5 linked regions of the Rattus norvegicus genome follow. The protein of the gene in region 5 purifies or fractionates together with the protein of the main gene of each other region. This does not show direct contact. Links are inferred from orthologs where the notes say so. Each region holds a gene or a part of one and is shown on either strand. Other genes may lie near its edges.

The links.
Region 1: the proteins of Rab7a (region 5) and Gdi1 purify together in Homo sapiens (affinity purification with mass spectrometry; 4 studies listed by BioGRID and IntAct, counting the BioPlex papers as one, with this or other methods). This does not show direct contact. The link is inferred for Rattus norvegicus from reciprocal best matches to the Homo sapiens genes RAB7A and GDI1.
Region 2: the proteins of Rab7a (region 5) and Arl8b purify together in Homo sapiens (affinity purification with mass spectrometry; 4 studies listed by BioGRID and IntAct, with this or other methods). This does not show direct contact. The link is inferred for Rattus norvegicus from reciprocal best matches to the Homo sapiens genes RAB7A and ARL8B.
Region 3: the proteins of Rab7a (region 5) and Plekhm1 purify together in Homo sapiens (affinity purification with western blotting; 5 studies listed by BioGRID and IntAct, with this or other methods). This does not show direct contact. The link is inferred for Rattus norvegicus from reciprocal best matches to the Homo sapiens genes RAB7A and PLEKHM1.
Region 4: the proteins of Rab7a (region 5) and Vdac1 purify together in Homo sapiens (affinity purification with mass spectrometry; 3 studies listed by BioGRID and IntAct, with this or other methods). This does not show direct contact. The link is inferred for Rattus norvegicus from reciprocal best matches to the Homo sapiens genes RAB7A and VDAC1.

What each region holds. Positions count from the first base shown.
Region 1 is NC_086039.1:157,237,060-157,241,848, forward strand, and holds the start of Gdi1 (rab GDP dissociation inhibitor alpha), read left to right. Parts: upstream 1-1,840; 5' UTR 1,841-1,964; coding exon 1,965-2,009; intron 2,010-3,177; coding exon 3,178-3,285; intron 3,286-3,444; coding exon 3,445-3,544; intron 3,545-3,681; coding exon 3,682-3,816; intron 3,817-4,227; coding exon 4,228-4,426; intron 4,427-4,680; coding exon 4,681-4,789. Other genes in the region: Atp6ap1 (V-type proton ATPase subunit S1 precursor), read left to right, coding at 1-160, 374-583. UniProt on the Homo sapiens protein: Regulates the GDP/GTP exchange reaction of most Rab proteins by inhibiting the dissociation of GDP from them, and the subsequent binding of GTP to them. Promotes the dissociation of GDP-bound Rab proteins from the membrane and inhibits their activation.
Region 2 is NC_086022.1:143,302,523-143,307,579, forward strand, and holds the start of Arl8b (ADP-ribosylation factor-like protein 8B), read left to right. Parts: upstream 1-2,108; 5' UTR 2,109-2,291; coding exon 2,292-2,414; intron 2,415-5,057. UniProt on the Homo sapiens protein: Small GTPase which cycles between active GTP-bound and inactive GDP-bound states.
Region 3 is NC_086028.1:88,859,510-88,864,272, forward strand, and holds the start of Plekhm1 (pleckstrin homology domain-containing family M member 1), read right to left. Parts: upstream 2,950-4,763; 5' UTR 2,894-2,949; intron 1-2,893. UniProt on the Homo sapiens protein: Acts as a multivalent adapter protein that regulates Rab7-dependent and HOPS complex-dependent fusion events in the endolysosomal system and couples autophagic and the endocytic trafficking pathways.
Region 4 is NC_086028.1:37,031,078-37,036,157, forward strand, and holds the start of Vdac1 (voltage-dependent anion-selective channel protein 1), read left to right. Parts: upstream 1-2,131; 5' UTR 2,132-2,194; intron 2,195-5,080. UniProt on the Homo sapiens protein: Non-selective voltage-gated ion channel that mediates the transport of anions and cations through the mitochondrion outer membrane and plasma membrane.
Region 5 is NC_086022.1:122,061,062-122,066,134, reverse strand, and holds the start of Rab7a (ras-related protein Rab-7a), read left to right. Parts: upstream 1-1,949; 5' UTR 1,950-2,109; intron 2,110-5,073.

The DNA of each region.
Region 1 (4,789 bases), on a different chromosome or scaffold from region 5:
CCACAGCAATGGCTCGGTTGCCCATTTCAATGTTTCCCAAGTCACAGGACCTAGTATCTATTCTTTCCACTGTGAGTACGTCAGCAGTCTGAGCAAGAAAGGCAGTCTCCTTGTGACCAACGTGCCCTCCCTCTGGCAGATGACTCTTCATAACTTCCAGGTATTGAAAGGGTGATGGGCCCCCAAGCTGGTGGCAATAAGGGGCGGGAAAAAGGGCCCAGAGAATCTCTGCATGGTTTGAGCATGTAGCCGAGAGAGTTCCATCCTTGTATAGTCTCTGAAGGTATAACTATTCATTAATTCCAGAATCCCAGCACTGAACTGTTTGTAGAACCTTGTGGTCCCATCTGATCCATGTCTATGTATCTCCTAGATCCAAGCCTTCAATGTGACTGGTGAACAGTTCTCCTATGCTAGCGACTGTGCTGGCTTCTTCTCTCCGGGCATCTGGATGGGGCTGCTCACCACCCTCTTCATGCTTTTCATATTCACCTATGGTCTGCACATGATACTCAGCCTAAAGACCATGGATCGCTTTGATGACCACAAGGGCCCCACCATCACTTTGACCCAGATTGTGTGACATATACCAGAGAGGGATTGAGGGAGTATTGGTGTCTAGGTTTCCATTTTGTGACACAGTGGATGGAAAGGTTTGTCCTCTTCCTACTATAGCATGAACCCTACATACACCACCCTCAGCCTGTCTTGCTTCCTCTTTCCTGGACAGGGACTTCCCTGAGGCTATCCCCCACTTCTACCAACAAAGTGTATTATTCTTCATAGATAAATCTTCCAGGCTTCATCAAGAGGGGAAGGGACCTTAATTCTAGGGTGCCCCCCTTTCCCTTTCTCCTTATTTATTCTTGCCCCTCTGCTATTATTTCGTGCTGTTTATAGTGCTTTTGTGTAGTAAATACTCACTCCCCAAGCTTTATGGAGCTTTCCAGCAATAGCCATGAACTTGAGGTCCCTTGAATTTGAGAGGTGTGGAAAGGCTAGTTAACTGTCCAGCTTAGCCTTTATGGGTTTTTTTTTTTTTTTGGCGGGTGGGGGTTAAGAATGAGCGGTACACTGGGGTTTATTTCTGTGACCTGAGAAGGAAGAAATCACCACGAGAACTGGAGAACAAAGTGTACTCATTGGGTTTCTGGTTTGTTCTCACAAGGATTGCCTGTCAAGAAGCCAGAAGTATGTGTGTGTGTGTGTGGGGGGGGTGTGCTCTGTTGTTTCATTCCTAATAAAATAAAGACGTGTTGCCATGTGTTGGGCTCCAGCCACTTATTTCTACACTGGACAAGTAGATTTGTTCTTGACTGAAGGGAAGAACTGCTCAGATGTAGTCCTGTCAGGCAAGAAATGAGAGAGGAAGGGTGGGAGGGTCTTCAGTAAGCCGATACTCTTAACAAGCCGGAGAAGAGGCTTGTTACTTTTCCTCGCCATGGGAGGAATCCTGACAATGGCAGCTCTCCCAGCGCTAGGGCCAGCTGCAACAACACACTGCAGGGCTTCCATGCCTTTCTGTTTCTCCCAGGGGCGGTACGGGAGCGCGCGGGGCGGGGCGGGGCGCGCGCAGCTCCCGCGCAAGGATCCTTCGCTAGACGTAGCACCTGCCGCCGGCCTGCCCCGCCCCGTATTTCTCTGGGCTCACGGAGAGCCGCGTTAACCCCTGCAATCATTCTGGTGCTGGGACCCAGGTGCCAGAACCCCTCCTAGAAAACAAGCGAGGAAATGGTGGCTTTGGTTGGGCGTGGCTTGGCCAGAGGAGGGAGAGGGACTCATTGACGCTGCGTAGGGATCGGGAGACGACCGATAGACGCCATCTTTGGGTCAGTGCGGCGGCAGCGGCAGCGGCAGCAGCAGCAGCAGCAGCAGCAACAGCAACAGTAGAGGCATTGGTAGCAGCTGCTGTGGTGAAGGAGGAGGAGGAGAAGAAGAGCGGGCGCTGGTACCAAGGCCTGACCATGGATGAGGAATACGATGTGATTGTGCTGGGGACAGGTCTTACCGTAAGTGCCACCTCAGGCGCTCGTAGCCCTGCATCATGCCATCCCCCACCCCGCAGTGATGCAGAGTCCGGGTTACCCGACCCATCCTCCCATCATTGCGTTCCTGCCTCCAGCCCTGGAAAAGCCCATGCCCACCCCACTACCTCATCCTAGAGTGTTGATGCCAGTTCGCAATTCTTCGTAGAGGGCCCCACTTTGGCCAGTATTCCAGCACCCTAGATCTTAACCACGGACCCCTCACCTTCCCTATCTGTGTCACTGAGGTGGAAAACTCACCCCCCTCACACACACTGGACCCGTTGCATCCAACCCCACCCTTCGCCTGCACTCATCACCTGCTCAAGTAATTGATTAGCATCTTTTACCATCTTGTGATCACACTAGGGCATGGAGTATGAAGATAAAGATATGGGGGCTTTTCAAGGGTGGGCCCTCATCCTGCCTCTCTGCCTTTTGGGAGGGATAGGGAACCCATGGAATGTTCCAGAAACAGCGGGAGGGAGGGAGGGAGGGAGTGTGTGTGTGTGTGTGTGTGTGTGTGTGTGTGTGTGTGTGGTGTGTAGGGAGGGGGTGTTAGTGACCGCTTTCCCTCTACCCCAATTCGGTTTCCCATGGAGACCTCAGAGTGAATATATATCCTCAGCCTTTGTCCTTGGGTTAGTGACAGTGACTGGTGAGAGTGTCCGGTGTCCCCGTCGCCCCCCCCCCCCCCCGCACAAATCTTTTTTCGTTTGAACCCTGAGCCTAGAGCAGTGGATGCACAGCCAGAAGAGAGTCAGGGGCTCCTGCCCTTAAAAGGAGGAGCAGGGTGGAGCCTGGGATTTCAAGGACTTGGCCTTATCTTTCAAAGAGCCTTTGAATTGTTTCTTCTGTAGACTCATTGTCTTGTCTTTTTGTGAGCTCAGAGCAGGTAGATACTTTTGGCTTGTTGATGCTAGAAGAACTGTAAGCTCTGTCCCCCAAGCCTCCTTTAATGCTCTAGTAGTTTACTCAGCAGGGTTATAAAGGAAACATCATATGAAGCTATCTTCCCCTCCCCAGTTTTAGGCACTGGAAAGAGGTAGGACTTTGCATTATGAATTTTGTAGTGGGCATGAGGCAGGGACAAATCAGAGATGCTCATTGGAGGGTAGATGAGGTATAGCTGCCAATGCCACTCTTTCCCCAGGAATGCATCCTGTCTGGCATCATGTCTGTGAATGGAAAGAAGGTGTTGCACATGGACCGAAACCCCTACTATGGGGGTGAGAGCTCTTCTATCACACCCCTTGAGGAGGTAAGATTTCTTATTCTCAGACTTGGGCTTAGACCCAGACCCCTTGTTAGTCCCCCACATAGGTGTAAAGGGGGGAAGTAGTTCTCAGGTCCCAGGCAGGAGAGTGGGGAAGGGAAGCTAGTCCTTGACATTTGTCTTTCTTTCCTGTCCTGCTTACAGCTATATAAGCGCTTTCAGTTGCTGGAAGGGCCCCCTGAATCAATGGGCCGGGGCCGAGACTGGAATGTTGACTTGATCCCCAAATTCCTCATGGCCAATGGTGAGGGAGATTAAAAAGGGCGATGGGGGTGGTGAGTAGGAAGATGGGGTATGGGGTGTTCAATCTCCAGAATATGATCAGTCACACTACTGAGAGTTTTTTGAAGGAAAACACACCCTTACTCCCTTTGGACACAGGTCAGCTGGTAAAGATGCTACTGTATACAGAAGTGACTCGTTATCTGGACTTCAAGGTGGTAGAGGGCAGCTTTGTATACAAAGGGGGCAAGATCTACAAAGTGCCATCTACTGAGACTGAGGCCTTGGCTTCTAGTGAGTATGAGTCTCCTTAAGCAGAAGAATGGGGCTGGAGGGGACAAACTGTTTTCAGGACAGTTGGGCAAAAGGCTCCTCTTTGCATAAACCTAATCTTAGCTCCGTGTAGTCCTAGAGGCCCCTTGCTTTATAGTTTCTTTATTGGACAGTGCTACCAATCTTGGCAAGTTGCCAGAAAGGAAGTTCACAGAAGAGGATTCTTTTTTGTCAAAGGGCCTACTTGCCCTAAGTGGAGCTGGGAGGGTCTCTTCCTACAAATAGGAAAATTGAGACCAAGAAAGGTGGAGCAGTGTTGCATAAGAGAGTTCTGGTGGGAGCCAAGGCACCAATTTTCCTGGCCTGCTCTGTTAGAAAGAGGAGCTCTATGTCCGAGTAATGCAAATGATCTTTTCAATACCTTTCTTTCAGATCTGATGGGCATGTTTGAAAAACGACGCTTCCGAAAATTTTTGGTGTTTGTGGCAAACTTTGATGAGAATGACCCCAAAACCTTTGAGGGTGTTGACCCGCAGACCACCAGCATGCGTGATGTCTACCGGAAGTTTGACCTGGGCCAAGATGTCATTGATTTCACTGGCCATGCCCTGGCGCTCTACCGCACTGATGAGTGAGGGGAAAGCTGGCTGGTGATGGGAGCCCCTTGTCTGGCTCACACCCTCTCCACACCTGCCTATTGTACCTACTGCCCATCCTGCATGTCACTTGTACTCAGCTCCAGGCTCACCTGTTCCATTTCCATCCCTCTCCATTTGACCCACATCTTTGCCAGGTCACAAAGGGTGGTGGGAAGGCTGGCTGGTGTCTTTGTAAATGAACAAGGGTGCTGCTATCAAAGCATATTCCCTGGTTCTTTTTCCGTAGTTACCTGGATCAGCCATGTCTTGAGACTATTAACCGCATCAAGTTGTACAGTGAGTCCCTGGCCCGGTATGGCAAGAGCCCATATTTGTACCCACTCTATGGCCTGGGT
Region 2 (5,057 bases), about 21 Mb from region 5:
CTGATCCCTCCTTACTCTGTCTGTCTCTGTCTCTCTGTCTGTCTCTGTCTCTCTGTCTGTCTCTGTCTCTCTGTCTCATCTCCCTCTGTCTATTTTTTTCTGTGTCTGTCTCTGTCTTACACACACACACACACACACACACACACACACACACACACACACACACGTCAGTCCACAGGGGCTACAGAGTTACCTCAGTAGTTGAGCACTTGTTGCTCTTCCATGGAGGCTAACAACTGTCTGTCTGTAACTCCAGTTCCAGAGGATACAATGTGTTCTCGTTTTCTCAGGTAAGGCAGGGATGTGGTGCAAAGAGACACCTGCAGGAAAAATCACACATACAATAAAAACAATTAAATCTTCAGGTTACCTCCTGGCTTCCCATCTTCTATCATCAAATCCAAACTAGGGCCCCGTGTCCCACTCCCCCTGTCCCTGAATTTTCTTTCTACCTCTCCCCACTCCAGGTTTCACTGATCTACGCCAGTGTTTTGTATTGTTCCAAGAATAAACTTTTGGCTGCATTTTTGGCTTTAAATGAATGTACTTATTAAGTACACAGCAAATAAAAGTAAAAGAATAAATAGCAAGTAGCGATAGGTAGCCAGGCTCTACCAAATAGCAAGCTCACAACATCCAGCAGAGGCGACTAGAGTAGTTGGTTGAGAGAGCTAAACAAGAAAGCATCAAGTTAGAGGTTTACAAATACGAAGCAGATATCAACTGGGGAAGTTGGGGCAGTCAGCCGGAGTGTCTTTTTAAAAAAATATTTTCAATTAAAATATAATTCCATCATTTCCCCCTTGCCTCCGGCACACCGTCTTTCAACCTCCAAACCACTTCACTGTCCTTCCCCATTCAGGGTCTTTTCCTGGAATGTGCTTCTACCAAAGGTCAGCCTGCTTCTCCTTCTCACTTCCCTCAAGCCTTTCCACTCAGGACCACCTGACTTAAAGACAAGAGAATCTGTTCCAGCTTCTTCTTTGTTCCTCTTCAGTTTTCTTTACAACGTGAAGTACCATGAAGCATTTTCTCCTCTGTTTGCTGTATGTTCTCCACACTGGACTGTAAGCCAGAGGAGGGCAGGGATTTTGCTGTTACTATTGTTTTGCTGTGCTAGAAACGAACCCCATGTCTTTTACGTGCTGGGAAAGAATTTTTTCCCATGAATTAATTTATTCACTTTGCCTCCTGATCACTCCCTGCCCCCCACCCCCTCCAACCTCCCCAGAACCCAGTGCTTCAATACATGCCAGGCAAGCATTCTACCACTGGGCTACATCCCAACCCAAATTCTGATTTTTTTTTATTCCGTGTTCAACTACTCAGAGTATTAACATTTTCTTTCAGGGTACATTGTCAACAAACAATTATAGAAAAATTCAGTCAATAAGTGAATGAGGACCAACTCTTTTAAAAAGTTAATTAATTTAATGTGAGTATACTGTTGCTGTCTTCAGACACACCAGAAGAGGGCATCAGATGCCATTACAGATGGTTGTGAGTCACCAAGTGGTTGCTGGGAATTGAACTGCAGTCTGTGCTCTTAACCATAGAGCCATCTCTCAAGCCCCAACTCTTTTTTTTTTTTTAAGATTATTATGATTTATGTGTTTTGTTGTGGGAGTATGTGCACGTGCTTGCAGAGTGTACGACGGAGGTCAGAAAGCCCTGGATCTGCCCCCCCCCCCCCCCCCCCCCCCTCAGAGCTCAAGTTGTTGAGGGCTGCCAGACTGTGTGTGCTGGGTCCTGAACTCTCCGGTCCACCGAAAGAGCAGCAAGCCCTTTAACCTCCGAGTCATTTCTGTAACACTACCGTTTTTGCTTTTTGAACTTCTGATCCTCCTGCCTACACCTCTCTAGTACTGAAATCCTTGGCCTGCGACTGTGAGGAGCCCAATAAGTTGGGAAAAAAAAAATGGTGAATGAACCCACCATGAAAGAGAAAAAACATGTGACAAAGTGAATTGACACCAAGGCGATGACACTGTGCCTTGGGACGCACCACCAGGTGGCGATGTCGCCGGCGGGCGCTCGGAGTCTATGGGACCTCGCCGTTCTTGCCGTGTGCTTCCGCGGCTGCGCAGGGCTGGGCGTGGGGGGGGTAGGGCGAATCATATGACCCGCTGGGCTTCCTGGCTCCGGCCGTCGCAGCCTCCTATCTGTGTCTACCCGAGTCGCGCCGGGGGGCCCGCTGAAGAGCCGTTGGCGGGTTCCGGGCCGATACCCGCTCGTGGGAAGCAGTGTCTGTCGTCGTCCGCGCCCGTCCCCGCTCGCTGCCGGCCGCCGCCATGCTGGCGCTCATCTCCCGCCTGCTGGACTGGTTCCGCTCGCTCTTCTGGAAGGAGGAGATGGAACTGACGCTGGTGGGGCTGCAGTACTCTGGCAAGACCACTTTCGTCAATGTCATCGCGGTGAGCAGCCCTATGAGGTCGGCCTGGCGGGCGTCCGGGGCCTGTCACCTCCCTGAGGGCCGGGCCGTGCGATCCTTTGGGTGTGGGCCTGGGAGGTTTTAGCCGGAGGGTCAGCGCCGGAGGGTCAATTCCACATTGCGTTTTGGTGGGGGGCTGTGTCTTTAAGGCGGCCTGGAAAGAGTTAATCCGAGTCTGTCACAGTTGCCGCCTTTCGGGCTGTGGAGGCTGAAGGGTTAATTCCAACCTGTCACTTGCTCATCCGGACGGGTGAGCTCGGCCTTTTCCAGAACGCCTGCGGCCGGGAAGCCTCTCTGAAATCTCCACTTGGGACGAAGGAGCCGCATTGTGAAAGCAGGCAACCGGTGTGGGCGCATCTGTGAATGCCAGGGGGAGCCTTGGCGCCTCCAGTTCGCTTGGTCTTTGTCACTGGTCCACGGAGAGTCAGAGATCAAACTGATGGAAACTGTTGGCGTGACCATCCAGATCCCAGTATTTATTAAGGCAGGGAGTAAGGGCGAGGCGAGTCTCTGTTTCTCCAGAGTGATTGTGTTAAACGGGCGGATAGATGGATCTGCGTTCAACATAAAGTTAACTATCCTGCAGGGTTTGGTCTTTAGAGAGATTTTTTTTTCCTCCTAGAGAAGGAATTTGTTTGGATTGGGGCGTAGCTTATGCAGGCTCGGGGAAATTGCTTGGAGATTAAATACACTTAAATATAATGTGGTGGTTAATTCAGTGGGAGAGTGGTTGTTTGAGTTTGCGTCGGGGGAAGGAATGGGAGTGAATGTCAGTCTTTGGAGCTGAGGAGTCGTTGCACAGTCTTAGGGCTGTACTTAGAGGGTTGCACTTTACAGTTGTTCCGATGAGAAGTGGCCGCAGTTCTCAGACCTTCAAGAGGCTTGTTGGAATCCTCACACAAGAGACAGCTGAGCTGCCAGACTGGTTTGGCTGCACACTGCCATGGGAGAAACTAGGTAACTTGTGACTCAGTCCCTGCAGTAATAGAGCAACAGGCGTGAAAGACAGGAGCAGAGACTCAAAATTTCTTTTCGAAGATGGCTGAATATAACTATGAGGGAAATGCCTATGCTTCGTGTTGGGCTCTTTCTATATTGCCCCCACCCACACCCCAAGAGAATAAGGCAGAACAAACTTCAGGCTTTCTTTCATACCAGGACTTTTATATAGACTTCGAGCTGTTCGTTTTATATAACCAAGATAAGAATTGGCAATTCCTTGGCAGTCCTGTCTCCTCGACAAGATTGAATTGGTAATCGTGGGTGTGTTGGTATGGTCACTTGTATTTGCTGTGGAGGAGGAGTTAATGCAAGAACCTGCATCAATGAGTAGAATTCAAGAGACATACTGCTTACTTTTGTGCATATATTATCACTAGACAGTGTAGCTTGATACAACAAACCCGAACTTTTATGCCAAGCAGTCCTGGATTTGAAATCTGGATCTGCCACTTAGCAGCCTTGGGTCTGGTTGAGTCGATTGTGGTTTTCTGATCTATGAAGTGCAGATAACAATAGATTTCTTAAGAGAGTTGCTCTAAGGGCTTACCAGGAGGAGTAGGGAAGTGATAACATGTAGATATCTCTAGTGGCTGTACTACCCAAAGCAGGTACATGGAAAATACATTGAGAAAGGACGGAGCAGGCCTCGTTTCCTTTGACTCTCAGGCCAGTGTGGTCGGCAGTTGCAGATTTATGGCTCTTGGGAAGGAAGCTTCTTAAGCCCCCCTCCCTTCTGAATTAGATTCATTTTAACAACTATCAAATGTCAGCAGTGCTGTTGAAGTTAGTGACCCTCTGTTATCCGTCAATATTAGACTATATGATGGAGATAGTCTCTGTTAAGAAAAGATCCCACAAAAAAGAGAGGCTATGTTTAACTCATTTTAATCATTCCAAATTCTCTATATCATAAAATGTTACATTATCCCCCACATACACACATACATAATTATGGTCTGTCAATTAAAAATGTTAACACCCAAGACATGGTTGGTGATGCTTACCTGTAATTCCAGCATTTAAGAGGCTGAGGCAGAATGATAGTTGGAAGTCTGATCCACATCTGAACCCCGCCCAACACACATACTAAGAAGAAAAAATAATTTAGGGAAGAAGAAAAAAGGCTAGACTGTAAGTTGGCAGTGGGGTTTAAAATGCTGAGGAAGGGGCTGACTCCTTAGATACTACTAGCTTAACTTGTCTCTCATCCAGTCTTTGTTCTTTTGAGAGAGTTTCACTCTGCAGCCCTCTGTCCTTGAACTCATCAGGTAATCTGGGTTGGCAAACACTTGGAAAGCCACCCGCCCAACTCTCCCAGGTGGAGGGATTATAAACATTTTATCTAAAGTCCCTGCATCTACCTAAAAAGTGGAGGACTTTACAAAGATTGGGAAGCTTACTTTCTTTTATGTGGGGCTTGGTCCAAAAGTTGTTCTGTTCAAGAACAAAGATTCTCAGTTTCTCTGATGCTTTTAAACCTGAGATGGCACCTTGTTTATTGAGAGACATGAGGTGCAGAGTATTGTCATTTGTTCTGGATGGTATTGAAACACCTCTAGACTTTAATTTTCTGATATGATAGAAATGAAATATGTCTAGTTACTGTGTTAATGTTGGTGCAGTT
Region 3 (4,763 bases), on a different chromosome or scaffold from region 5:
ATTCTTCCTTCTACCCTGTTTTGGTTTTGTTTTGTTTTTTAAGGACAAGACCTTTGCTGTGTAGCCCAGGCTGGCCTTGACTTCCAGCAATCTTTCAAGTTTCTCCTTCCTCAACAAAGAGATTACAAAGCCTGGCCAACTATGCCTGGCTTTCAGATTCCCCTTCGGCAGTGCGCTCCCACTGAGGTCTATCTCTGGTCCTGAACTCTTTCTTTTTTTTTTTTTTTTTGGGTTCTTTTTTTCGGAGCTGGGGACCGAACCCAGGGCCTTGCGCTTCCTAGGCAAGCGCTCTACCACTGAGCTAAATCCCCAACCCCCTGAACTCTTTCTTTTTGAGCAAGATCTTGCTATGTAGCATAAACTGACCTTGGACTTAGAATGTAGCCCAGGAAGGCCTTAAACTCCTTGGGAAAGCTTTGAACTCTCATCTTCAGTCTCCTGGGCACCTGTGGTTACATGTGGGTAGCATTGTATCTGGCTTTGCTATAGGAGTCTAAAGACGTGTATACTCTGAATGAATGAAAACAAGAACTTTGAAGAACTCATTCACCACTCTGTTTCTAGGACTAGTACGCAAAATATCAAAAAGAAAAAAAATAGATAACAAGCCCAACTCCTGAATAATTTAATAGATAAAGGCGAGGCATATAGAACAGGTACATCTACTCGACAGACTGTGGGAAGCTGAGGCACAGCACTTTACACTACTAAGAAACTTTTGCCACTCTGAAGGTTGCATTGTTAGGAGAGGCGATTAAAGGCAGAACTGCACTCAGCCTTCACAGAAGGAGACTACTGTGGCAGTGATGGTGTCTCAGGCCCCTTTATAATTGCTGATAGGGCTTCAAGTGTAGCTCAGTGGTTGAATACTTGCCTAACCTATACAAGGTCCTGGACTGAATCTCCATCACTGGGAGTGGGTATGGGAAGAGGCAAGAGGCTGCCACCAAAGACGGTTGACTCTCCTAATCGAGCCACTTAGAACTTGGAGGAAATGTATTTAAAAAAAAAAAAAAAAAAAAAAAAAAAAGCTGCATCAAGGACCTTAAAGACCCATATGCCTCAACTACTGAATTCACCTTTACATGTTCCTACAAACCCCAGTGGCTAAGACTAAATGATCTTGGGCCTACAAAATAGGGCAATTTTACAGCCCCTGTACCTAATCCTTCAACCTCTCCAGGACTCTTCATGACTTAGAACATGCTTCTGATGGCCATTATGTCTCTGGGTTCAATAATGGGAAAGATCTGCAGTCAGCTATGCAGAAAGGAACACCGGGAGGATTCTTCCTCACAGGTGCTAGGACACACGGGAAGGACTCTGTGATCACAACCAACTCCACCGTGCTCCTTGAGGCTCTCTACTGACAAAACACCAGTCAGCCAAAAGGAAGGGCTGGTTTCCATTACCCCAGGATGAATGAGATGGATGAGTGGTCACCTCATACCTTCCAGGTATTTGAATGACACCTAGGATTACAACAGCAGGCACAAATGATTTAATAGGAATCCCAGAAAAGCCATCAGTGGAAACACATTCAGGAGATCAGACACCAGGAAGAGCTCCCCCAAAAAGCTCTGGAGTAAGCTCTATACTCAGGTACCGTTTGAGTCCCTACACACACCAATTCGGCCGTTTAGTCTGCTGGGCTCTGTGCAAGGAGCAGACATGGCTGTTGAGGAACACAGCAAGCATGACCAGTAGGGAGCTGGGCCCTAAGTTCTCAAAGTGAAAGAGAGCTGGATGGAGGAAGGAACTGAAGGGAGTTGAGTAGATCTAGTTAATAGTAACTCTGGGAAGCCACACATGGTGACTCATGCCTACAGTTCCAGCACTTGGGAGGTGGAGGCAGGGAGGATCAGGAGTCCATGGCTAGCTTTGGCTACTTGAATTGGCTGTCTCAAAACAAACAATAACAAAAACAAAAAACAAAACCACCCTCCACGCCCACCTTCTGCCCTCCAAACCAAAAGAATAAAAACAGATTAAAACACAAGGGGATCTCTGAGGCCAGCCTGATCTACAGAGTGATTTCATAGAGAGATAAGGCTAGAAACATGCTGTCTCAAAACAAAAACAAAAAACAAACAAACAAAAAAGCCAACAGCAAAACAATGAGATGAATGGGGGTAGGGATATTATCAAAATACATTACATGCATGTATAAAATTCTCAAAGAATTAATGTATATTAAATTTAAAATGACAAAAGGACTGGGGGAAATGGTAGGAACTGAGGCAGCAGAGTCAGGGAGAGTTTATAGAAAGGTCTTAAGTAGGTAAGTGCCAGAGAGAACTTACCTCTGTGATCAGCTAGGAAATGAGGTAAAAGTCAAGTCGGTAAAGAAAAGATACACACAAGACTTGAGATAAAGCTGTGATGTCAGTTATCAAGAAGAAACCGGCAAGTTAAACAGGCGACAACTTTAGTAGTGGGTCAATAGGAGGGAGACAGACCTAGGGTATTTGGGATGAGTGAGCCGGATATGACAAGCTGTGATACGAAATCAGAGCCAGAATGGAGGGTCAAGGGAAAGTTCAGAAGAGTTGAAGGCTAAACATTATGTTGAGATAAGAGGTGGTGGAGGGATGTGGCTCGCTCCAATCCGGTTGCAACTGGGCTAAAGAGGGGTCACGAGTGACACTACACTTTTGCAAGACCGTTGGTTAGGGGGACCCGGCTTAGGGCTGCGGTTGACTGTGGTGGAGACGGAGGGGAGAGACCCGGTGGCCGCTGGCTGAGGTGGAACAGGCCCCAGTAGCTAAGGGCCGAGGTTCCCACCACAAGTCTCAAGGCGCCCAGGGGTCGCGAGCGGCTGCGAGGCTGCAGGCCCACCGCCGGATCGCGTCGCTGCCCCGCGCTCCCCTCCACGTCCAGACCCTAGACTCACCAAAGGGAGCAGGAGCAGGTGGCGGAGCTCCAGGCAAAGCGAAACGCCTCAGTTCGGAGAAAAAGCCGCGGCTCCAGAGGCACTGACAACAGGAAGCGGCGCGCGGCGTCTGACGCCATCACGTCGGCTCGCCGCTACGGCCCCGCCCCAGCCCGCGGAACCAATCACGAGGCCTAGAGGAGCCGAGGGGCGGGGCCGGCAGCTCATCTCCTGCGGGGGCATTGCAGGGGTTCTTGGCTCAAGTAAGCGATTCTGCGGCTCGCGATGCCAGGATTCTGGGTAGCGCAGAGTAGCTGGGCCACTGGAGAGTCGGGACCGCCTGTCTCCCGCAGCTCTGCCCCTTAACCCGGTCTGTGCAACTTTGGAGCTGTGGTTTTTTTGCCCCCTTAAACCGAAGATACGACCTGTGGCGCCATTAACCTGTGTGCTTCCCTAAGGGCATTAGTACTGGAGGGAGCAAGTGGATGCTGGGTTCTGGGTCCAAGCGGGAACCCCTAGGACTGGTTTTCCGGAGCCAGGAAACAGTTGTTTGACTTGTCTTATACCACGTGATCGCCCTGCGGGCTCTCTTGGACCGGTTAGTTTAATTTGCTTGCGGTCAGCCCTTTGAGGCGTGAAGCCCAGAGGGCCTGCTTTTTATCTTCCCACTATTTAATTGCTGTGTTCTTTTACAGAAAATGACAACTGTCTCTCGGAATAGACACGGAAGAAAACTGTCAAATGTGACTAATAAAGGGCAGGGCAGGCAGTGTGCATACTGCACCCTGTGGACTTTGCCCAAAAGGGAATTTAGGGCCTAAATGTGGGCCATAGAGATTGGGACTGTGAAAGGGTGCGTAGTAAATATCTTGCTTCTGTCTGTGCGTTTATATGAGCTTTGCTCATATCGATTTAGAGGGCCTTATTTTCTTGATGTCTTCCATTCCCTATGGCTCCTACACTCTTGGGGTTCCCTGAGGCCTGTGGGGAGGGATTTAAAGAACCCATAAAAGGCTGGGTATTCCAAGGTCTCTCACTCTCAGCAGAATATCTGGCTGTGGGTCTCTGTATTTGTTCCTATCTGCTGCAGAAAGAAGCTTCTTTGATGATGGCTGAACTTATCTATGAGTATAGCAGAGTGTCATTAGAAGCCATTTTATCATTGTCTCTTTTTTTCTTTTTTCTTTTTCTTTCTTTTTTACCAGTTGTGGTTTGAATATACTTGGCCCGTGGGAAGTGGCACTATCAGGAGGCATGGCCTTATTGGAGGAGATGTGGCCTTATTAGAGGAAGTGTGTCACTGTGGAGGTAGGGCCTTGAGGTAATATATATTTGAATATAATAAACTCTGGCCGGTGTGGAAGAGGCAGTCTCTCTTGGTTGCCTTCTAATCAAGGCTCTAAGAATACGCTCCTTCTCCAGCACCAAGCCTATCTGCATGCTGCCACGCTTCCTGTCACTGTGATAATGGACGGGACCTCAAAAACTGTAAAACAGCACCGATTAGATGTTGTCCTTTATAAGAGTTACCTTGGTCATGGTGTCTTTTCACCCTAACCAAGACACCAGTACTACTTGCTTTTACCCTAGGTCCCTGGGCTATCTAGTCTCTGGTTCTTGATCACCCCAATCATGTCGGATATGGGTTCCATCTTGTGAAGTGGGCCTTAAGTCAAATCAGGTACTGGTTGGTCACTCCCACAAGTTTTGTTGCTGCCACTGTCCTAACATATCTTGCAGGCAGTACCCCTGTTGTGAAGGGGCTGTGACTTGGCTTGGCGTTTGCACTTCACATTTGGTAGCGTGAAAAGTACCTCCTTGTGCCAAAGGTGGTAGAGCGTGGGGATGAAGGCTCCAGCCCAGGTTCAGTGAGTGCAGGTGCTGCCTTCAG
Region 4 (5,080 bases), on a different chromosome or scaffold from region 5:
TTGTGGCTACTTCCTTGGATTTAAAATCTTCCCTTCTGGAAGGAAAGAGATTCCTAAAAGTCAGGAAGCTACCTTGCAGGCTCCCAGGTTCAGTCCCCAGTACCAGAAAGTAAAAAACAAAACAAAACAACAACAAAACACACAAAAACCCAAAAAAGCAGGAAGCTCTCGATGATATATATATATATGGCTTCGGAAGTTCAGCTATCAGACTCACGAGGCCCCTCTAAATAGTCAACAGCTAATGGAGAGGGGACTCTTGAACTTGTGCCCAGGTCCAGGGATACACACAGGTTTTGTGCGTTGGGAGCCGTTAGGGTGATCTTTTCAGCTACTTTGATTCACCTTGTAAATAACTTCAACACAATGGTTTGCCAAAGTAGACTTTGGGTAGAATTCTTTAGTCTGTCATCTGTGCTCTCTCTACAGCAAATAGCTGTCTATGTCTCCCCAGGGAACGTGACACAAGCCACTCACTGAGTCTTAGGTAAGAGCCTTACCACTCCGGTACATCTCCAGACCGTTTCATTCTAAACCAACACTGACACTCCCAGGGTGAGGTTCCGAGAAGCCAGATTTTCTGCTCACCCACGGACACACAGTCAAAAATGGCCCACAAGCTCTCTCGGTGATTGTAAACCCTACCCAGGGCAGCTGGGGAGGCCAGAGAAGGCTACTAGAACTCTTCAGGTACCTTAAAGGTACTTGGAGGATCTTGAACATTGGCTGTCTGCCTCACAGCTGGGCATCAGGGCTCAGGGCCAAGTGTAAGATTCTTGGAGACAAATCTTCCTCGTGTCCCCAGGTCTTGTCCTTCCAACTCTGCCTCCCTGTTGTGACTCAGCAGCTTTTGGTGCCTGGTTTTTAACTCTGGGAGTGGATTGGGTGTTTGTTACAGGGTAGGTGTGCAGACTTGAAAAGCTACGTAAAAACTGTGGTTCTTTGTAATGCAAAGCAAGCTCTAGGCCACCGAGCTTTGTGTCTGCCCACATCCTAGCCCGAAGGGCTTACCCTCATAGTCTAGATCTGGGCTTACGCCCGTTCCCCCAGCCCCCATCAGTTTCCTTCGTTCAGCCCACGGAACAGCATTTTAAATCTGGAGTGGCCGCCAGTGTCCCAGCTGTCTTATTCAGCACAGCAGGTTGTGAGCAACCACCTGACGTCTCCTCTTCTGGACCCCAAATGCCTTGATTCTCTTAGGACGTCTGTCAATTGAAGGCAAAGGGTGTGAAGTCTTCACTCACATGCGATTTCACAAATTCTCCAAGCCTGATTTGGGTTTGGCTTGGTGTGGCACACTGGGAGCCTCAGCAGGGAAGGAGGCCATGCGCTGATGAGACCAGGCTGGGAGAAAGTGACCGTCCGCTCTACACTGCAGGAGAGCAGACATCCAGAACCCGCGTGACCTCCTCATGTAGTGAGACTCCGCAGTCTCACGAAACTCACTTTGTCTTTTCTAATTTCTCAAATGCTTGGGAAATGGCGGAAAGCTGCTTCGACACCAGGGAAAATTGCACGCAAATGTGCAGTGCGGAGCCGGCCCTCGGGAGAGTTTAATTTGCAATTCACTCGCTGACGCACGCGGGCGTGTCGCAGGCTCCGGAAACCCAGTGTAGCGAGGTTGGAGCGCAGAGGACAGTAGCCGCTTTGCCCAATGCAGCGCCACCTTCGGAGCCCAGTGTGTCCCCACTGGGCCTCGGAGTGACTCGCGGCCTCGAGGCTGCGCAGGAGCCACAAGACTCCGGGCGACCCTATTCGCTGAGGTCCTTAGGCCACTGCTCACTGTGCCGGAAACTCCCCTCCCCCTCTTCTCAAATGCTTCCAGCAGCCTGGTGGCTCCAACAGTGACCCGCGTGTCCCCGCGCACGCACACACCTCACGCACGTCAGACCCACGCCTCCCTATCGCCCCGTGCCAAAGTGCACGCAGGCTTTTACGCGCGGTCGCACATGATCACAGAGCCGCAGATGGTGCGAACGCTGCTCCCGGGTGGGAAGAAGACCCCGGGACTGGTCTGGGCGCTGTCCGGGGTGGAGCCGAGGGCGGAGCTTGGAGTCCGGGCGCGCAGAGCTGGGGCGTGTCCGCGCCGTCGCGATCTGCGCCGCCCCGCCCTCGGCCCGTTCCCTGCGCTCCCAGCCTCCTCGCCGCAACCCCCGCCGTAGCTGCCGCTGCTCTCGCCGTCACCGCCTCCGAGGTAGGCGCAGCGGAGAGGGCCCGGGCTATGCCTGGGTCCCCAGGGCCTCGGGCCGCGCTCCTGGGGAGTCTCTAGGGAGGCGATCGAGGGAGGATCGGGCGAGGGCGCCGGGCCTAGGAGCTTAGCCCCGGGAAGGGTGAACCAGGGACGATCATCGCGGGCCTGGAGAGGCAGCGGGCTTGTAGAGGAGGCCTGGAGGGCAGGCGTAGAGCGGATCTCCGGAGGGAGAGATCCTAGCTCGATCTTTCAGAGCGCCTGCATTTGGAAGCGAGGGGCTATCCGAACATGCGAGGGGCGGAAGGGCAAGGGCGGCCGCGTGGAGGCCGGGCGGGCCGCGGGTCTAGGTGACCTTTCCCGGCGGCGCCCTCTGGCTCTAGATCCGGTCGGCATGGATCTGGTAGAGACCCTCCCACGGCCCAAGCCCTTCCCCGCCAGCTCCGAGGGCCTGTGCAGACCCAGCTTCCTTCGCCGAGAGGACGCGCTCCAGGCATGGCCATGCCCTGGATCCCCTGGCCCCTACATGCCTTAACCGGCCCACGCCCGGAGTAGGTGGCGCCGGGTCCCTCCCGTGCATGCTAGTGCCTTCCCGGGCGGAACGGGCTGCCCTGAGTGGACTTAGGCCGCAGGAACAGGGACCTGGGCCTGGACTGAAAGCGAGACCCCATAGGGAGCCATATGCCTGGCCTCCTTGGCCTTAGGGACGGATTCCGTGTTCTGTGTCGCCAAATGCAACTGTGCATTCTGGAAACTGTTTTCAGGGCCTGACATCAGATTGGAGGCCTGCAATTCTACATGGTTTGTCCAAGGTCACACTGGTAGGAAGATCTCAAACTTCAATCTTCTCATCTGCGAAATAGGAGCAATTATATACACTTCACTGAGTTTGGGGGAAGAATAAAATGATCCGATTAATACGAAGCCTTGGGTCATGCACAAGGACACCTTAGAAACCTTGACACTTACCCTAGGAGTCGTAGGAGCTTTGGGGAGGGTTGAACTCAACCTCTGCAGACCTTCCCCCCCCCCCTTTTTTTTGGTTCCACACGGTGTACTGGAAGGGATTCCCTAAATCTACAGTCGTGTTATTTTAACGCCATTGTTACCGTGTCTGTAACAAGCATTTGGGCAGCACCAGGTACTGAATAACTGGAGAATAATTCACCAAACACTGTCTGTTTTCAGACTGACAGCCGTTAAGCTGGAACACTAAATCTGACTGCAGACCCAGAAGATCCAAGGCTCCTCTTTCCTTGACCAGACAGATGAGTGAGGGGCTTTACTCAGTCTTGTTTAATAGTAAGCCAGGCATAGCTACTGAAGGCCTGCCTGTTTTTCTCCAGACTGACAAAACTCTAGGGCCAACTCAGGCTTACCTTTAGGGTCTTGGGTGGGACCACTTGGCACACATTAGGTGGCTAAGAAAGGTCTGTGGGGTAAATTCACTTAAAAAAATGTCTACTTAATGTGTGTGGGTTTTTTTTGCCTTTGTGAGTTTATATATATATATGCAGGTGAACTCAGCCCAGAAGAGGGTGTTGGCTCCTCTGAACTGGAGTTATAGGCAGTTGTGAGCTGTCGCACGTGGGTCTGGGAATTAACTACCAGGTATGGTGGGTGCACATTAAATCGTGGGATCTTAAACACCCATTTGATGACGTAGACCGCTCACTGACTTCTGGAAGCTCTCCTGGCCTAGCAGAGTCAGATATTATAAGAGCTACGACAGTACACGCTCATCTACAGCAGGAATCACGAGGGACGAGAAGCAGCTCCTTTGACATTCTACAACATCCCGAGTCCTCAGGGAACTTGTCAGACTGGTGTTTCTGGGCTTGAAGCTAGAGTGATATGGGTGAATGGGATTCGAGCCAAGGCCTTGGGCCTGTTGTGCTCTCCCCTTTCTGACAAGGTTGTGTGGGTATGACAGCTAGAGTAAGGTGCCTGGCCCCAGTGGTAGTCGAGGGTGCTCACAGGTGATTTGTTTTAGTTCTGATTTCCAGAATGAGGCTTTTTAGACAGGGGTTGTTTGGGACCATGTGGTCCTCATGCTGAAGCTGAGGCAGGTGGAGACTCTGGACTCTTGAGCTGGTGGTAGTAAGGGCTTGCCCCCCCACCCTCCCACCCCCTCATCACTTTGCTCTCTGAGGACCTTTGCTGTTGCTGGAAATCCCCACAGTATGACAGACACCTTCAGTGGTAGTGACTGAGGGAAACATGTGGCCAAAGTGAGGAGGGTAGCCCCTAGGATTCCAGAAAGGTTGTTGTACTGTGTGTGGGGCTTTGTGCTTTCCCCAGGTTCCTGTGGTAGATGGATGGTCTCCATCCCACTGTTAAGTCACAGCATGTGAGCACTTTACTTAGAGCTGAGCTAGAAAAAGTTCCAGAAGGGCAGCCTGGGCTCTCAGTGCTGATCTGACTGACAAGAGCCACAGAGGCTAGCTCAGATGAAGTAGCTTTCTTGTGTCTTAGTTTCTCTGTTATACCGTGGTGGGGTTTTGTTTTAAAGAATTAAATGTTTGGAGGTGGATAGCTCATGTGGAGGTCAGAGGGCAACTTCTGGGCCTCCACCCAGGCCTTGGGATCACCTGGGTCTGCTGTAGAAAGGTGACTGTCATCGCTGGCCATCCTGGTGTTCTGTAGCCCTGCTGGGTGTACTTGGCGCTTAGGCACAAGTTCTCTGCTAGTATCCCCCACACTTCACTGCTGCTGCTTTGAGGAACCCATAGGTGTGAGTGCCCCTGTAAAGCAGAAGTTACTGACTGGTTGGGAATGGAGAGAGGTACACTGCTGCAGGCCGTCTGTAGGGGCAGTGCTTGCAGGAATCGTTTTCCCTGGGGCGAGATGGGAGGTGTTCTTCCAGGACCTGGCCAGATAGTATCTAACTAA
Region 5 (5,073 bases):
GTGTCCTTTTCAGTTACTTTCTACAAACCCAATACCTGTGGATGGTGAAAGCACACACCTTTAATCCCAGCACTCAGGGCTATACAAAGATACCCCGACTCTCGAAAAACAAAAACAAACAGATGGGTTTTGTATGTTTGATTGTTTTGAGACAGCGTCTAAGTAGCCCCAGCTCACCTTGAACTCTCTTTGTTGACTAGACTGGCCTTGAACTCACAGAGATCTACCAGCCTCTGCCTGCTGAGTGCTAGGGTTAAAGTGCCTCCCAAGTGCTAAGATTAAAGGTGTGGCCCACCACATCTAGCCACTTTTTTTTTTTTTTTTTGGTTCTTTTTTTTTCGGAGCTGGGGACCGAACCCAGGGCCTTGCGCTTCCTAGGTAAGCGCTCTACCACTGAGCTAAATCCCCAGCCCCATCTAGCCACTTTCTACCTAGTTTTTACCCCCCCCCCCTTGTTTTTACATGTATGAGGGTTTTGCCTGAATGTATGTAAGGGCAATGTGTGTATGCAGTGCCCGTGGAGGATAGAATAGAGCATTGGCTCCTCTGTGATTACTCCAGGGGAACTAAAGTCAGAGGAGATGACGAACAGACATAGTTCCTGTTGGGTCTCATGGTTGCCTCCCACTGTCCTCCTCGGGTCAAGTGTGTCACTGCTCTTAGCCACATCCAGCTTTGCTTCCCGACTGCTGGTCTGACTGCCATGTGGAGGCTGATGCTATGCCCAGCGTGAGGTAGTGCCCTATTCTAACAGGGCCTGAATCAGCTTCCACAACTGTGGAGAGTCTGACTCTACCACCAGATTCGTAAGGGTCCTACTTCCCTGTCAAATTTTAATAGATAACCAGACAACTTATATATATTTTTGCCTTGCTTTGTCACTTGTTATTTCTTGAAGATTTCAGTTTGCATATGAATATACAGACTTCCTTTGTTGTCTTAGTTTCAAAGTATTCAATTGAATGGCCAAATAATAGTTAATCCATGATTGAAATTGAGCAAACTTCTCACTATGAGTGTTTATTTAAACTCTATTATAGCAAATGGTGAGGATCTTGGCAGAAAGGTCTTGTCTTCCCCTATTCCTTAGGACCTACAAACCTTTCCTACTCCTTAAACCCACAAGCTAGAGCATGCACCAGAGAAGACTATTCAGACATGGGTGTAAGCTAATAAAGGCGACTGGCTACTGCACTGGGTGTTCAATACTCCAATATAAGTTGAGCCTTTCTCAGGGTGAGCTTTTAAGCATAAAAAACAAAACCCATGTTCTGGGTTAACATACTTCAGTTAACAAGAACTGTTAGCTATAAGCGGAACTATTGAAGTTAAAAAGCAAGGTTAGTACATTTTGAGACTTTCCCAGAACTATAATGGACTTTGATGGATTAGGCCTTTGTTTTAGTTTTGGTGGGTGTGATATCTTTCATGCCTATAAAATCAGTCTGGCATATCGTCAGTTCAGCAACTCCTTAGCTCTTTTTCCATTTTCCTGGATCATCTACCCTGCACAGGTATTCAGTAGTTTCTAGTTCCTCTCTGGGTTCCATTTCTGAGAACACTGTAACTGATCACTTCCAACCACATTAGAGATAGCACCCAGTGGACTTAGAAGACCCTGGACCACACCCTGCCTGACATATGGGTGATTGATTAGCGTGTTCCAAAGGGGGACACTCTCAGAAAGGCTAAGTGACTCTCCCTCAGGGTTGGGGCGTGGGGAGGGAATATTGCATTATCAGTTCTTGGCCCAATATGGTGCGCTCCAGCTTCTGCACGGCCTTCAAAGATGGCAGCCCCCATATAGAAACCGCCATATTTACCCCACCAGGCGCCAGGCTAGGACCTGACGCGACCGGAACGTGACGCAAGGTGGAGGCGGGGCTCCTCCCTCCAACCCTGGCGTCGGGCGTCTCGTGACAGGCACTTCCGCTCGGGGCGGCGGCAGTGGCGGAAGTGGGAGCAAGGCCGGAGCTTTGACCATAAAGCCCAAGGCGGCGGCGTTGGCGACGGTGTTTGGGGCTGGGCAGCTCCGAGGAGCCTGCTGGAGCCGGAGTCGAACCTCTCTGTCGCGGCCTGCGTTGTGTCTCCTCCTCTGTTGACCCTGCGGTGAGCGGCGGGCCCGGGCCGCCCTTCCCCCGCCGTGGCTTGGGCCTCCGGGCCTGGCGTCCTCGGCGAACGCCGAGCTGGGCCGGGCCAGGCGGGGCGGCGCCCGGCGGGCGGAGGTCGGAGGGCGCAGGGTGATCGGCGGGCGGCGAGTACGGGGATCCTTGGGCTGGGCGCGTCCCCGCCGGCTACCTGATGGGTGGGAAGAGGTACCGGCCGGCCACCGAGGCAGCGCTGCCAAGCGCGTCACATGCCCCGGCCGGCCGCCGGCACTGGGAGACAGGAGCTTTTCAGGGTCCTGCAGGGTAAATTCTATTTCCGAAGTTTCAGGAGGAAGGATCTCTCGAGTGCCTTTCAAATAGCCTGGTGTCCTCCTAGCTCATAATCGTGCGGATGTTGAGAGTAACATTGTGAACATTTGAGATTTCTGGTTTGCTGGGCTGCGTGGCAAGACCGCACAGGTTGCCCTGTTCTCCAAACAGCCCTCCGAAGCACGGAGGCAGTGTCCACTTACAGAGAAGAACAGAGAGGTTAAGTCACTCGACCAAGGTCACACCGCCGATAAGTTTCAGAGGGAGAGATTGAAGCATAGGCAGTCAGACTACTTAGCACTTTACTGGCCTCTGGCCTCTTCTCCTCTTGATGCTCCCGAAGCTTGCCACCTGTTATCTGTCCATCAGCACCCCCTCCACCTCCTGTCTAATGATGTTATTTGAGAGCTTCTTGGTCCTACCTTAAAGCCATGTTGTATTTGCAGTTGTGACTTACAAGGCATAATACGGTAGTGACGGTAGTGTACTGTCACCGAACCAGAAGATCTTGAATTCTGGCAAGGTATGTATTGGATTTGAATAGGTTTCCTATGCAGCTCTCTTTGAGTCAGGTCTGGCTTGTCTATCGTGTGTACCTTTCTACAAGAATTTCCTACAACAGCCTAGCTTGTTGACTCTTCACTGTTGAAAATATTGCGTCTTTGGCTTTCCAAAGAATAAACTCTTGTCTCTTTCTTGTTACTTCAGCAGCTGATACGCATGATTAGGTTAATAAAATCTCCTGTTGGTATGTTTCTCTTCTATCTTGGAAATATTGATTCAGAATTGAGTGTACGAGCTGGAAAGTGAATTATTACTACTTCTAAAGCTGGCCAAACTAAAGTTTGGTGTCCTCGGTTGTCTGTAGTTTACTTTGCTGTCCGGCTGGGCTGTAAACCTTTGTGATGTGTGAGTTGAGAAGAGACTGGCATCTCATTTAGGAAATGTTTTTCTTCCATATGTGTGTCAGGCATGACTGGGTTCTGACTCAGGGCTACAGGCATGGATGGGTCTTCCTCAAGGAATTGTAAAAGAATGAGCCTCAGAATAATGACTCGGCCATAGGAGAATCTGGGGCTTCTGCAAAAAGTAGTTTTTGTTTTATTTTATTTTTTTATTCCCTCAGGTGAATCAGATATTCAAATGTGTATTGTTCTGGCTAATAACTTGAAATATTTCCCAACTTTTTGTGTGTGCCTGAGGTTGGTATTGGGTGTTTTACTTAATTACTCCCCTTTTTAATTTTTTTGAAGACAGGATCTTTTCCCTGACCCTGGAGCTTATCCCCTGCTAGCAGGTTAGCCATCAAGCTCACATACACACACACACACACACACACACACACACACACACACACACACCACTCCCCTACCCTTCTCTCTTTTTTTTTTTTTTTTTTTTTTTTTTTTTTTTTTTTTTTTTTTTGATTTAAATGTGGGTCCTGGGGATCTGAACTCAGGTCCTTATACTTGTCCAACAACTGAACTATCCTCAGTCCCCATCTTTGTCAGAATTGGGAACCATGTATTCCTAACCATGTATTTGTATAGTTTGCTCTTGAGAGGGGATCATATTCTGGTGCATGACTGATCACCTCCTTTGAAGAGTAACCATCAACACTAAATTTGATTCCCTTTTTGTTGTAAATGATATTTTCGTCCTCCCTTGAGGGGAAATAGACGCCACTTAGTACAGTGCACTGTAATGTGTGAGCAAAGGCTGGGTTTTCCTTTTTAGCTGACAACAAAGCTTAATGTAGCTGCTGCCAGACTTAGTGAAGCATTCTGGAGAAGACTGGTGTCCTCTGCTTTCCATGGCCCTCGGGTTCCCTCTGCTCAAGGGCCCAGGCTTTATCCACATGAGGATCTGACGGGCGCTCTAAAGGTAGCTTTATTAGTGTGATCTTGCAGGTGATTGCTGGCAAGCACACGGTGACTTTTCTGGTTGTCTTTTTTGGTGTCAGTTGTATCTCATTCAGAGGTCCTGACCCTGTCAGAGTGGCCCTTGTAGGAAAAGAGTTGTGAATCAGTTTCTGGCTCCACCACCAAGTGAGGCAAGAAAGATTGGGCATTGGATGCGCTGTCTTCAAAGAGATCCGCACTGATAGTAATGGTACTGCACATTTGTCAGTAACTTTCCTATGAAAATACGGTGTGCACCCAGTCTCTAAGGTCCAGTTGTCACCTCCTGCCTCTATCCTCCCTGGGGTCTGGCATCAGTCTTTAATGTTTTTCAATGATAAGTCATCTAAGCTCCGTCCAAGTTGGCAAATGTGGCTAAGCTAGATGAGTTCTCCTGGGCAAGTAACTAGGAGATGGCCTCCTACCCTGGGCCAATAGCAGCTCCTCTTTAAAGGGTTCCGAGACCCTTATGTTTTGGGTCCTTCTTTCTGCAACACTGAGCCTTGCTCTTCTTGTTGCTAGCAAGACTCTCACCTGTGCTGAGCTGTGGTCTGGGTGCTGCACTCCCGCAGTTGCTGCAAACATTTTGCAGTGTTTTCTTGCTTGTTATTTATCTTCCTATTGTTCACCTTTTAGAGAACATTAAATACTGGAGATCATTTGCATTTTTGTTTTAAAGTTTAAATAAAAAACAAAACCCAAAGCTTGGCTTTAAGTGGTGGTCATGAGCAGTGATTGTGGCCCGAAGGTGAGCG